4 separate regions of the Mus musculus genome follow, and all the other regions are reported to be linked to region 1. Evidence: microRNA targets listed by miRTarBase, many of them from high-throughput screens and not tested one by one. Region 1 holds a microRNA gene; each other region holds the end of a gene's coding sequence.
The links. Region 1 holds the annotated microRNA mmu-miR-339-5p (UCCCUGUCCUCCAGGAGCUCACG, at 1,261-1,283, opposite strand). A microRNA usually pairs through its seed, bases 2 to 8, with sites in the 3' UTR of a target mRNA and lowers its output. Matches are read on the target gene's strand: a 7mer-m8 pairs with bases 2 to 8, a 7mer-A1 pairs with bases 2 to 7 and ends in A, and an 8mer does both.

Region 1 (3,110 bases):
GTGCTGTCCTGGGGAGGCAGTCAATGCCCAGCGTTTTTGAGCATCCACTGGGCTCAAAAACATCTTGTTCAAACGTTCTTGGAATTGTGGAGGAGGTTGGTGAATATGTCCTGAGGATTGAAAGTCCAAGGCTAGCTTGAGCTTAGCAAGTCTGTCTCAAACATAAACAAAAACCCCTCAAAGGTTAGTTGTAGACCTTGGCAGTAGAGGCCCTGGTAGCCAGTGCCAGACACACAGCTCTGTAGGACCTTCTTTCTTGGAATGACTGAGTCAGGTGTAAGGATGAACACAGGTGAGGGTAGAAGGACCCTCTGTTGTCCCCACCCCATCATGTGACCAGAGCAGCTGTACTGGGGGCGCAGCTGAGTGGCAGGGAATCCAGTCATTTGACCCGCTTCACACAGGACAGAGTCCCAAGGGCACAGCAGATGGTCGATGGAGCCCAGCACCTGGCCTGTCTATCACATACCCAGGTGGTGCCTCCAAGGCTGGGGCATGGTCTCTGGTCCCTACCACCCCTATACCTGTTCCCCAGACATTGGGAATGGCCTACAAGTGACAGCGATGTTTGTGGGGGGAGACCACGAAGCCTGCTGAGGCTGACGAGCTGGGTGCCAAGGCCAGTGGACTCTGTTCTCATTCCCCAGCCCAGAATCAGCCCTCCTCCATTCAGTTGGAGCCAGCCCGAGTCCAGGGTCCCACAGAGGTGTTCGACCTTGAGAGCCCATTCCGGTTCACAGACCTCAGCAGACTGCTGCCCGGCTATGCACTCACTCGGTAGCAAGATTTCCAGAAGACAAAGCAAAAGCACAACAACATAATGAAGAGAGGGGAGAGAGTTTGTTTTAAAGGAAGCTTTTTATTTGGAGGTAATTACTGAAACACAGTGGATGTAGAAGTGACCCAGGGACACCAACTGCCAGGACATAGGTCACACGCAGTAGAATCAACTGGTGCTACAGAGGACACACACAGAGGGAGAGACCTGGAAGGCTCCCTCCTGGCTCCTCTCCCCTCCCCCTCAGTGTCTGCGTAGGTTAAGATGATTAGGACCCCAGAGGGGTCAGTGCCTTGCGTCACCGCACAGAGAAACCAGAGTCCCCTCCATCCACGGAACAACCTGCAGATCTGCACAATCGAGTTCAAGAAGGTACAGCATGAACAGCCAGCGACTGAGCACCCTGGTCTGCAGGCAAGGGTCTGTGGACAGTGCAGGGGTGGACACCGGCTCTGTCGCCGAGGCGCTCACAGGCAGGCATACGTGAGCTCCTGGAGGACAGGGATAGTGGCCACCCCGTCCAGCTCTGCACAGCTGTGCTCTCACCACCTTGGTGCCAAGGCAAGGGTCACACCCACCTAGGGATCCCCTTCTAGATATGACTTTTCAAATGCACAAAATGTCACTTAAGCCCCATGCTTGAAAAAGACAAAGATGACAGATGCGGCACCCTGCCTCCTCAGTGACCTGAATGGCGGAAGTGAGCAGCAGATCTGATGTATCCCTGAGAAACAGGAGACTGGGCCATCACCAGCTGCCACAGGACACACGAATCCCCAGAGGTGATGTTGTCACCGCCACCAAGCCCAGGCTCTGTCCAGGCCACAGGTCCTTCTGCAGTCACGGCAGAAACACCCTGTGTCACTTACTTGGGGGTTAAACACAGGCTAAAGCCTAAGTCTTGACCTCAGGCTGCCCAGAGAATTAACTTTCTCACAGACTCCAGCACAGACCACAAGGCCTCTAGGCTGTGAGTCCCCGACTATACATCGGTTTTCTTGGCTCTCTGGCCTCAGCTCACCTGACTCAGGCTGACTGGCCCCACCAACAAGGTTATGAAGGTCCCATGGGTTTTCTAGGTCTAACCTCTCCCACTGCTATCTCACATGTCCCCAGTTCCAACACAGGAGCAGACAGACCCCAGGAGCTTGAACAGGGTGCAGATTTCCTTGACTAGGCTGAGGGGCTGGCTCCAGAAGATAAAACTTCCGTCCCTTTGCCTGCAGATCACAGGAACTGGTCCCAGCAGCTCTGGCACAAGTTTAAGTGGGAAGCCCAACTCGGCCATCAGTGAAGCTCCTGGTCCAAGAGCAAGGACAGAGTCAGCCCCTGCCACCTGAATCACGGGCGTGAGGGCGACACACACAACAAGCTCCCACCTAGGTCTACTCAGAAATGGCAGAAAGCAGCCAACAGGCAGGGAAGAGGGCCCTGCAGCGGGGGAGATGGGGAGGTCTCTAATCAGACCCCTGCAGTAGGAGACCCTGAAGTGAAGGAGAGGGAGGGGCTTGCATCTATAACTGAGCATTCCCAGGCCAGGAAAAGCCTGCTGACACAAGAACCTGTGTACTGTGCAGAGCCTGCGCTGCGTCCCTGAGCCGAGCGAGACTCAGTCTCATTTCAGCTGCAGTCTGCCTCCTTCGCCCTAGCTGGAGGCCTTCTTTCTAGCCAGGGCCAGGTACCCACATCCCCTTCTCTAGAGCTTCCCGGCATGCCCACCACCCAGGGATGCTTGTTCTAGCCTGGTTTCCACGTGCCCCACTCCCAATTCTATTTGAGTGTGCCGGTAATCAAAATGCTTTTGATTTTGGCTTCCTCTGGTAGAGCAGCTGTGTTCACACATCCCAAACTGCCTAGTGGACCCCCAAGTGACATTAAGGTCATGGAAGCTTTCTTGCTGTGGCCAAGGAAAGGCCATTTCTCCTGCTACAACGGGCCCAGCAACCACCCTGCAAGCAAGGTCAGATGTCTCTGCTCACCTGGGTAAGTGACTCCCTAGCAATCCAAAACTCCCCACCCCCCTTTTTTTAAAACAGCAGAAATGTGAAGACAGCTCTGAGCCAACGAGGGCAGAGATGACCAGAACAAACACTGGGGCACAAACAACACTCGCAGGATCCTCTATAGTTCCTACTTTTTGTGCTGATCTTGCTATTATAATGCAGAGCGGATTTCTAAAGCTTGAAAAGCCCACTAAGCAAAGTGTGGGAGTCATCCAAGGTGCGGGTGCAAGCAGCTACAACTGGGCAGAAAATGGGGTCTCCCAGGGAAAAAAAAAAAACCAAACAAACAATTATGTACTGTCAAAGACTATCAGCCACCAGGCTTCCAC
Region 2 (3,110 bases), not on the chromosome of region 1:
TCGCTGCTGCAGCTCCGGTTGGCTGAGAGCCAGACGCGCCTGGACCACGACGTAGCGGCTGCGGTGAGCGGCGTGTACCGCCGTGCGGGTCGCGATGTGGCCGCCCTGGCGGGGAGGCTGGCGGCTGCTCAGGCCACCGGGCTGGCAGCCGCCCACAGCGTGCGCCTGGCGCGCGGGGACCTCTGCGCGCTCGCCGAGCGCCTGGATATCGTGGCTGGCTGTCGCTTGCTGCCGGACATACGAGGGGTCCCTGGTATGGAGCCCGAGCAGGACCCGGGACCTAGAGCCTAGGCTGTCACTCTGTGTCCCCCCACCTGACTCTGCCTCTTGGTGAACATTCGTACCACCTGTGGCATCTGACTCTGTTTTTGTTCCTGGATCACCGAGGCCTCCAATGCGTGGTAGCATTTGATCAATGCCGACAGAAGCCGAATCCTCGCATCTTCTTTGATATTCTTAGCACAATTCCGGGCTCCCCAACCCAGGTTCTGTGGCTATCAAGTAGCTTAGCCCCTATCCATTCTGGTCCTGTTTCCTAAATTCAGCTTTACTCTTGGGCAAAGCCAGAGGTTTGCTTTCTTTTGTTGAGCCTTTCTGAATTTAGGCTTTGGGGGGTAGTGGTGTCTCTCTAGTTTACATCCCTAAATGATGATCACTCCTGACCCGAGGATACCTTCCTCTTACACATATCCCTCTTACCGACCGCTGTGGCCAAATGCAGACCAACCTAGGGCCTGGGTAGTAACCCTAATTCTTAGGCCTTTGTGTCAGGGGCAGCGCCTCCTGGTGTTTTGATCGCTATAGAGACATGACACCACAAATACAAATCTACCACTCACTGTGTCTCTTTCTGGATGCTAAAAGGACTTGGATTCTGACCTCTATGGGCCTCGAGGATAACAGGTTCTTTTTGCCTCTTTGGGTTTGGCTCTTTGGGTGTCTTTTTGGCCACTCCTTTTGTCTCTGTCTTAATGAGGATTCAGTGACCTTATGTGGAAGGGAGCTCGGGTGGTGGGGTGAGACTGTAGCTCAGTGGTGTCGTGTACGCTTAGTGTGGGCGGCCCTGGGTTCAATTCCTAGGACCACCCTGCTTCAAAAGAAACAAACAAGCACATTCTTTGTTTGTTTGTTTTGTTTTTGTTTTGTTTTTTGAGACAGGGTTTCTCTGTGTAGTCCTGGCTGTCCTGGAACTCACTTTGTAGACCAGGCTGGCCTCAAACTCAGAAATTCACCTGCTTCTGCCTCCCAAGTGCTGGGATTAAAGGCGTGTGCCACCACTGCCCGGTCAAACTAGAACATTCTTAGATGCCTGTGTCCCCTTTAAAAATTTACCCAGGGTGGGGGGTGGGGTGGGGCTGGAAAGTAGAGGTCCTGAGTTCAAACCCCAGAAACCACATGGTGGCTCACAACCATCTGTATTGAGATCTGATGCCCTCTTCTGGTGTGTCTGAAGACAGCTACAATGTACTTATATATAATAAATAAATTATTAAAAAATTTACCCTCTTGATTCTAACTATCAGCTGATATGCTATTTTGTTTTTACATCAACTAGAGTCAGGGTTTTTATTGGTAATTAGGCGTGGAGATTGGGGATTTAGCTCAGGGTTACAGCTCTTGCCTAGCAAGTGCAAGGCCCTGGGTTTGGTCCTCAGCTCAAAAAACAAAACAAAACCTCAAAAAAATCCAACCAAACCCCTCCCCTCCTCAAAAACAAAACATGTAACTGGTGCATGTCAGGCAGTGGTGGCACACACCTCAGTCCCAGCACTGGCTGGGCAGAGGCAGGCAGATCTGAGCTTGAGGCCAGCTTGGTCTGTAGAGCAAGTTCCAGAACAGCCAGGGCTACCCAGAGAAATCCTGTCTCAGTTTTAAAAAAGGAAAAAAATTGTGTGCACATATGTGTGTGCTTGCAGGTATGTTTACCCAGTATGTGTGCTGTATACAGGTGTGCCTATATGTTCAGGTGTGTCCATGTGTGTGTGTAAGCACGTGTGCTTGCATGTGTGTAGAGCTTCCTGTGTATAAACAGGTGTGTCTGCATGCATGCAGGTGTGACTGTATTGTGGGCTCAGGTGTGCCTGGATGTGCAGATCTGTCTGCAGATGTCAGGAGCTGTGTATGTGCATGTAAGGGCCTGTATGTGACAGGTGATGTGCAAGGCTGTCCTCTCCCGAAGCTCTGCTGTGCCGCTGGCACAAGGCCACCACAGAAAGGACTTGTTGACCTTTGAGTTCCCTAGAAGAAGGGGGTATAAGGAGGCTGTGCCACCTCACCTGAGGGTCCAGCCACTCTTCACAAGCACTTGTTTACAACTCTGCCCTAACTCCACCTGTGTCAGGGACTGGGTAGATGTACACAGACCAAGAAAGGACAGAGAGGGGGCTCCATGTACACAGCCACACACAAGCCATCCCTACTGCATGCATACCTTCCAGTAGGGCTGCTCCTGCTCTTAACCCCACACTCTTGCTCCATAAAGCATGGGACCTTGAAAGGTACCATGGTCCCCGGCTGAGCTAAGGCTAGAAGCCGAGGAGAGCCTGAAGGGACCTAAGGAGGTTTACCTGCTCCAGGGCACCAGGCCTGTCACTAGCAGCAGCCCCACCCCCATAGATTTGTGACCATCAGTCATGTAAGGGGAACGCCCAAGCCCCTCCACTCGTAAAGGCTGTGACCTGTGGTCAAGTAGGCACAAGACAGATCTCCATTTTTAACAAGGTTCCTAAAGGCCTGGAGGATGTAGCCAGTAAGCTTTCCTTCCCAGACATTCCTCCCTGCATCCACTTTCCGTCATGACAATAAATGCCTCAACAGTCCTCCTGCATTCCTAGTGCTGGATTGATTATGGGCGTGACCCATCCCTCTGGGAGATAGACAAAACCCAGGGTACTCGGTTGGTCAAGAACAAAGGTGAGGGTCCTGAGAAAATGGTTCAGTGGCTAAGAGCTCTTGCTTTGGACACAGGTGAAGCTGGGGTCCAATCCCCAAGAACAAAGGCAGGCACAGCTGCGCATGCCTGGAACCCAAATTGGGGGTGACAGAGACAGGAAGATCCTGAGAGCTTGCTGGCCAACCAGCCTAGCAGAAAAGGCAAGTGTCCAATTCAG
Region 3 (3,110 bases), not on the chromosome of region 1:
TAGGACAGATACAGCAACAGGGCCTGCCTCAGGACATCACTGCACAACATATACCAGTATGTACAAGCACATAATTATAGAGCACATTTTATAAATACCACTGATACACACTGAAGGGGCACGCACAGGAGACGGCGGGTTCTAGGGGAGAGCTGGAGAGCAGCGTCTTTGCCGTTTTAATTAAGTGTCTATGTTTTCTATGCTGTGCTCATTGTTTGCTCAGAAAGCAGCAACTCCTATGCTGGGAGAACTGGGTGTAGTCAGGGGTAAAATAACCAACATGAGCATCCAAAATGTTAAAATTGTGAACAAAATACTAAAATTGCAGATACCGAATCCTTGTATACTGCCTCAGACAAACGCTAGAAGCTTATACTGTCCGAGGGAAGCAAAGAAGGACGTAGAATTAGTGTTTACATTCTGAGGCACCATGGTCGTGGGGAGGGGCAGCACCTTAGCAGTCCTGCGTTGTGAACATGATCCAGGTGTAAAACCACTAAATGAAAATGTCAGTCTGAGTGAAGAGCCCGAAGGTCAGAGGGCTGTCTTTCTGACCTGTGGGAGGGACCCAGGCCAAACCTCCCTCAATGCATGCTTTGCATAGGGCCTTCAGACTTCAGACGCTCCATGCTGTGAAGACTGTCTGGTGACAGCTCTCATCAGGAGCCCTCAGAATCACAAGACACCAGTGCCGTTAGAACAGTGTTATAGACATGTCTGTGTTGTGCTGCTTTCATGTTATAGACATGTCTGTGCTGTGTTGCTTTCACGGGCTCATTCCAAGAGCAGATCATTACTTGTTTACAAACGTGCTCATCTGAGCGCTGTGCAATAAAGTCAAAGGATATCAAAGGTCTTACTTTGATATAGCAATTGACTCACAGGATGTAGGTCTTTAACCTGCTGTCTGGGAAGTTTTATCACACCCAGGGTCTCTTGAGAGTGCATGCAACACTTTCTAATGTATGTGTGGATACACACTTTTTTTCAGTAGGGCCTGAGTTCACATAGTCTTTATCTCAAAATGATCTATGGTCTGAAGGCTCACTTGTACACGTGACAGGTTCCAAGCTCAACATGAAAGTGTAAGCTAATAATGTTTTTCTCTCTCCCCAATTCAAACAAATAGCTTTGCTTTTAATTTTACTATACATATGGTTTTAAACAAATTATCTTTTATAAGAAAGCTAGATAGGTAAACATCATTCCTAGCCACAAACATTAAGTCTGATAAAGCAATTCATGTCAATAAACCTTGAAAAAATGAAATAATATACATACAAACTTTACTAAGGTCAGAGTACAGCCCCATTCTTCTTCCTAAAAGATGTTCCTAAGATGTTTGTTAGGGATCCACAATTCTTCCTTAGAACCTAAACATTATATAAATAGGACATTAATCTTAAATAACTTAGGAAGTTTTCACTTTCTAAACTACTATGTATCTAATTAGGGATGCTCATCCCAATTAAGAGTTAATTAATAATTATTTTTAACCAATTAATCTACTCTTAGGTATAATAGTGCCAAATAGTTACATTTCCTTTGCCAACAATTTGTATTGTAGCACTGTTCTGAAAAAGGAAATCTATAGCATCAATGACACAATCAAGATTGGTCACTGTACAACAAAGGTACCTTTATGTGGCAGGGGCTAGGGACTGAACCCAAGGCTTTGTGTATGTTAGGCAAGTGCTCTACCACTGAGCCATATCCTTAGCCCCTAGAAAATGTACTTTCTTAGTGAGTACATACACGTAAATTAAAAAAAAAAATTACAAACTGAAAATAATTTCTTTACTTAGGAGATGGAAATTTTTCTTCTAATTTTAAGATACAAATATTACAGATCTTAGTTTCAGTTTGAAAATTCAATTCATGGCAACTTTGTTCCCTTTTAAAACTGGAAACAGCTGGGTGTGGTGGCACACACTTTTAATTCCAGCTCTCGGGGGAGGCAGAGTCTGGTGAACCTCTGAGTCTGAGGCCAGCCTGGTCACAGAGCGAGTTCCAGGACAGCCAGGGCTACACAGAGAAACCCTGTCTCAATCCCCTGCCCCCCAAAAAACCAAACCAAAACAAAAAAAAAAAAATCAAAACAAAACAATACCCCCACCCCTCGAAAAAAAACCCAAAACCAAACCAAAACAAAAATCCCAATAAAACAAAAACTGGAAGCAGCATTAATACCAATCTGGAAACAAAACTAGCAGTGCTCTGGCTTCTTTAAAGCCGGTATCTGAAAGAAAAATGCTAGGTTAGGTTGAAGACTTCTGGGGAGGGAAGGGGTAAGCTGCATTATTTCTAGTGAACATATTGTTTTTGCTCTGTATTTGTGATTACAGGATATGACTTCAAGATTAAAATTACTCTAGGAACACCTTACCTTCTAAAACAACGGCTTGATTTCTTTAGCGTATTGGGAACTAAACCCAAAGTTACAAGGGAAATATGGTTATATTTCATATTTGGTTAAAGCAAGATAAAACTGTCTTTCAAAAATCTTCAAAAATTCTTGAATTTTAAAATTATTTATCATATATACAAAAGATACCAGGCTTCTCTTTTTAAACAGAGCACTATTTTTTAAGTACTTTAAGTACCAAGAATTGACTATAATACTCAGTTCATAATTTACTTTCCTTATAACAATTTTTTCTAAATTACTGAATTAAAAGGGTGGAATAAATTAACATTTTAAAACAATTTCCCATAACTTAGGAAAATAAAATATTGTACACAGAGCACACAAACTCTGTCACATTTGCATAATTTTCTCAAAACTTCAAAAACCCCTGCACTTCAGGCCTCTTGCAAATTCTTACAATGATCTCCTAGTTTATTAAACATACACTAGATCTCGGTTGTTTCCATCGGAGCTTGTGTGTTGATCATCTTCATCAGACTGTTGTTCTGAGCCCTGTGAATGAATGTATTCATACTCAATAGGCTTTGGATAATTATATGGGTAGCCATTGTCATCAAAAAACCTCCGAAAGGTGAACTCATAGAAAGCGTGCTCGGGGTGCTTCCCATTTTTATACCATCCGTTCAGAGTGTCACTGATATTTTCCTCCTCGCTGCCATCGCTCCACAATTTATCAGGATCA
Region 4 (3,110 bases), not on the chromosome of region 1:
AATCCAGGTGTGTTGGCTCACAACACAGTCCCAGCACTGTGGCAGGACTGCTCTGAGTCTGAGGCTAGCCTGGATTACAGTGTGAGACCCTGTCTCAAAAAATCCCAAAAGGGCTGGGCAAGGTGGCGCACACCTTTAATCCCAGCACTTGGGAGGCAGAGGCAGGTGCATTTCTGAGTTCGAGGCCAGCCTGGTCTACAAAGTGAGTTCCAGGACAGCCAGGGCTATACAGAGAAACCCTGTCTCAAAAAAAAAAAAAAAAAAAAAAAAAAAAAGAAAAAGAAAAGAAAAGAAAAAAAAAGGAAAAAACCCAAAAGGGCAGCACTCCGTGTAAGGAAGAACTTACCCACTGTTAGCAGCGCCCGGCTCACCCTGCCCCCTTTCTCTTCACAGCTAGCCCTGGGGAGCCTCTTCCATGGCCTGGATGTGACCTTCCTGCAGCCAACCTCCTTGACTTTGCTATACCCTCTGGCCTCACCTTCCAACAGCACTGACATCTCTCTGGAGCCCATGGAGATCAGCACCTTCCGCCTGCGCTTGGGCTAGGCCAGGGCTTCTTGTGGCCTGAAGACAGGGTTCATCCACAGAGACTGCCTCCTAACACCAAGACTAAGCTGGACAAGCCACACCAAGTCTCCCCTCCGCTCTGCCTCAGAAGTGACAGACTGTGCTGTGCCCTTCCGTTGTCTATTGCTGCTCCTGCGTTTGGAACAGTCCTTACATCAGCAGGCGGCGGGGGCAGAGAGACAGGGGAGAGGAGGCCCTTGCCCTAGGCTGTGAGTAGGTACCCAGCTGGGCACAACTCAGGCTTCATCCTTTTCCCAAAATGGGATGTAGGAAGAGTGGGGACAAGCAGAAGAGGTCAGGGAGGCTGGGGGACAACCTCACGCTAGGAGACTGCAGGTATGAGCTTGCTCTGCGGGGTCATATGGACCCCACAGTGCTGGTATGAGGGTACAGGAGCAGGGTGATTCTGGGAGGAGAGGGGTAGGCGCCCATTATTAGTGGAGTAAAGGCGTGGAAGGAGTCCCTGGTTCTCCTAAGAGCCTAAAGGCTTTGCTGCTTTCTGCTCTGGCTCTGTTCTGAGTGCCACTGGGCCTGCTCTGAGTGCCACTGGGCCTGCATGCCCTGGCTAGGGGCTGCTGGGTGCAGGAAGGGCTTGCTTCAGACTCCAGGCCAGAGGCCACGGAACACTTCAGGCACTAGCACTAGTTCTCAGCTGATCATTTGGTGTTGATCTGTGACAGGGGTAGGGAGTGTCTCCCCCTGATCTGCTTTCTTATCTCACACACCAGGCTCCCCACGAGTTCCCATTGTGGGGATCCTGGCAGGATTCCTTTCTCTAAAATGGAAACAGAGTTTCCAAGAGGGCTGTGCTTGGGTGTCTTGGGAAGGCATCCTGTGCTGGGGCCCCTGGTGGGCTGAGGAGGTTCACTCGTATCCCACCTGCAGAAGTATTACCTGCCCGCTGTGTGGACGAGGAAGGCAGAGACAAAATTAGGAGGTCATGTGCTTGGATGAACCTTCGTTTTTGCTTCAATCAATAGAGAATCTGTCTATAAATGATAAGAGTTGGTAAAAGCAAAGTTCCATCCTTACGAAAACTTAGTAAGCCAAGACTAGAAAGAAGCCCGTAATCTGGATAAAGATCTCGTCACCAGTAAGCGAAGGCGCCCAAAGCATCGGACAGAGCAGGCTCTGATCCCCTCAGTCAGAAACTGCCCGGCGGCACAGTGTGTTGGTGTCACTAACCCACACTTCAGATGGAAACAAGAATTACAATTGCCACTGTTTTAAAACCATAAGCTACCTAAGAAACCTGTGTGTCAACTAGCAAGGCATTCTGTGAGTTGCCCTGTAACGACTGGTTCTCCCCAAATCAACCCATAAACATCAGTGTAATTCCCACGAGGTTGGACACTTTCTGGAACTCTTCAGGTCCTGGCATTCATCTGGAAGGTGACAGGCTGAGGATGTGAAGTAGTTCTGAATGGCCGAGGTGATGAACGGCTGCTGACACTAAGGCGGGCAACAGGCAGTAGCTGTCTTAACAGAGTTCTCAAACGACTTGGACTCTTCTGCCAGCGTGAATTCAGCTGCCATGATAGGTCAGGTCAGACAGACCTAGGCACGTAGAAATTCAGTATATGATTTCAGGTGCAGGGGAGGGGAGGTGGATATTTTCATAGTGCTTTGAGACAGCTACCTACCTATGAGACTTCTGTTTCAAAAACAAAACAAAACAACCTAGGGCTAGAGGGAAAAAAGCAAAAGCAAACAACAAAATTGTTATTATTATTATTATTATTAATTATTATTTTAGTCTCACTATGTACCTCTGGCTGTGCTGGAACTCATTATGTAAACCAAGCTGGCCTGGAAATCACAGAGATTCCCCACCTGCCTCTGCCTCCTGAGTTCTGGGACTAAAGGCATGCGCCATCATCACACCTGGGAGGAAAAAAATTTTTTTGTTTTTTTGAGACAGGGTTTCTCTGTGTAGCTCTGGCTGTCCTGGAACTCACTCTGTAGACCAGGCTGGCCTTGAACTCAGAAATCCACCTGCCTCTGCCTTCCTAGTGCTGGGATTAAAGGCGTGCACCACCACTGCCCAGCAGAAAAAAATATTTTTATACCTGATTTAGGAAACCCTTTTCTAGACATAACATGAAACCTAATATATAATGGGGGAACATTAAAAAATAGGTTTTGACACACACACACACACACACACACACACACACACACACACACACACACACACACACACAAAGCTTGAAAGCATGCTATAGGAAACAGGTTAAATCAATACAGCTGTGTGGGTGGAAACGAGTCTGCAGTGAGTTCTGTCACTGCTGGAGAAAAGTGTGTTTTGACTTCTCAGAGAACGTCACTAGGGTCTGTCCAGCAGCACCCAAAGACTCAGTAGTGACAAGGCTGAGTTCTTGCAGGGTCTCCATGGTTTATGTTGCCAGGCTCAGGCCACACGGCTTCCTATTCATGTCTTGGTGACAGGAATGAGATGAAGAGTGGGGAGCGCTTAGCACAGAGCAGGGGTTGCGCCTACAGCAAGACTTATTTGCTACCATATGGTTTGTAATCAAATGATA

Region 2: the mRNA of Bloc1s3 is a reported target of mmu-miR-339-5p. Seed matches in the 3' UTR shown: 7mer-m8 at 1,154-1,160.
Region 3: miRTarBase lists Lats1 as a target of mmu-miR-339-5p. Seed matches in the 3' UTR shown: 7mer-m8 at 2,039-2,045.
Region 4: the mRNA of Man2a2 is a reported target of mmu-miR-339-5p. Seed matches in the 3' UTR shown: 7mer-m8 at 570-576, 7mer-m8 at 746-752, 7mer-m8 at 1,243-1,249 and 7mer-m8 at 2,484-2,490.

The regions. Positions count from the first base shown.
Region 1 is chr5:139,368,448-139,371,557 of GRCm38, forward strand. Mir339 (microRNA 339) reads right to left here and starts at 1,298; the gene lies at 1,203-1,298. The region is part of intron 2 of 3110082I17Rik (RIKEN cDNA 3110082I17 gene); the gene reads right to left.
Region 2 is chr7:19,504,195-19,507,304 of GRCm38, reverse strand. It overlaps Bloc1s3 (biogenesis of lysosomal organelles complex-1, subunit 3), which reads left to right. Exons shown (of 2, transcript NM_177692.4): 2 at 1-1,501. The coding sequence ends at 291. Among named protein-coding and RNA genes, the nearest start is that of Bloc1s3, 2.6 kb to the left of the region's middle.
Region 3 is chr10:7,712,743-7,715,852 of GRCm38, reverse strand. It overlaps Lats1 (large tumor suppressor), which reads right to left. Exons shown (of 8, transcript NM_010690.1): 8 at 1-3,110. The coding sequence ends at 2,843. Among named protein-coding and RNA genes, the nearest start is that of Katna1, 12 kb to the left of the region's middle.
Region 4 is chr7:80,349,135-80,352,244 of GRCm38, reverse strand. Man2a2 (mannosidase 2, alpha 2) reads left to right here. Exons shown (of 24, transcript NM_172903.4): 24 at 394-3,110. The coding sequence ends at 546. Among named protein-coding and RNA genes, the nearest start is that of Hddc3, 7.6 kb to the right of the region's middle.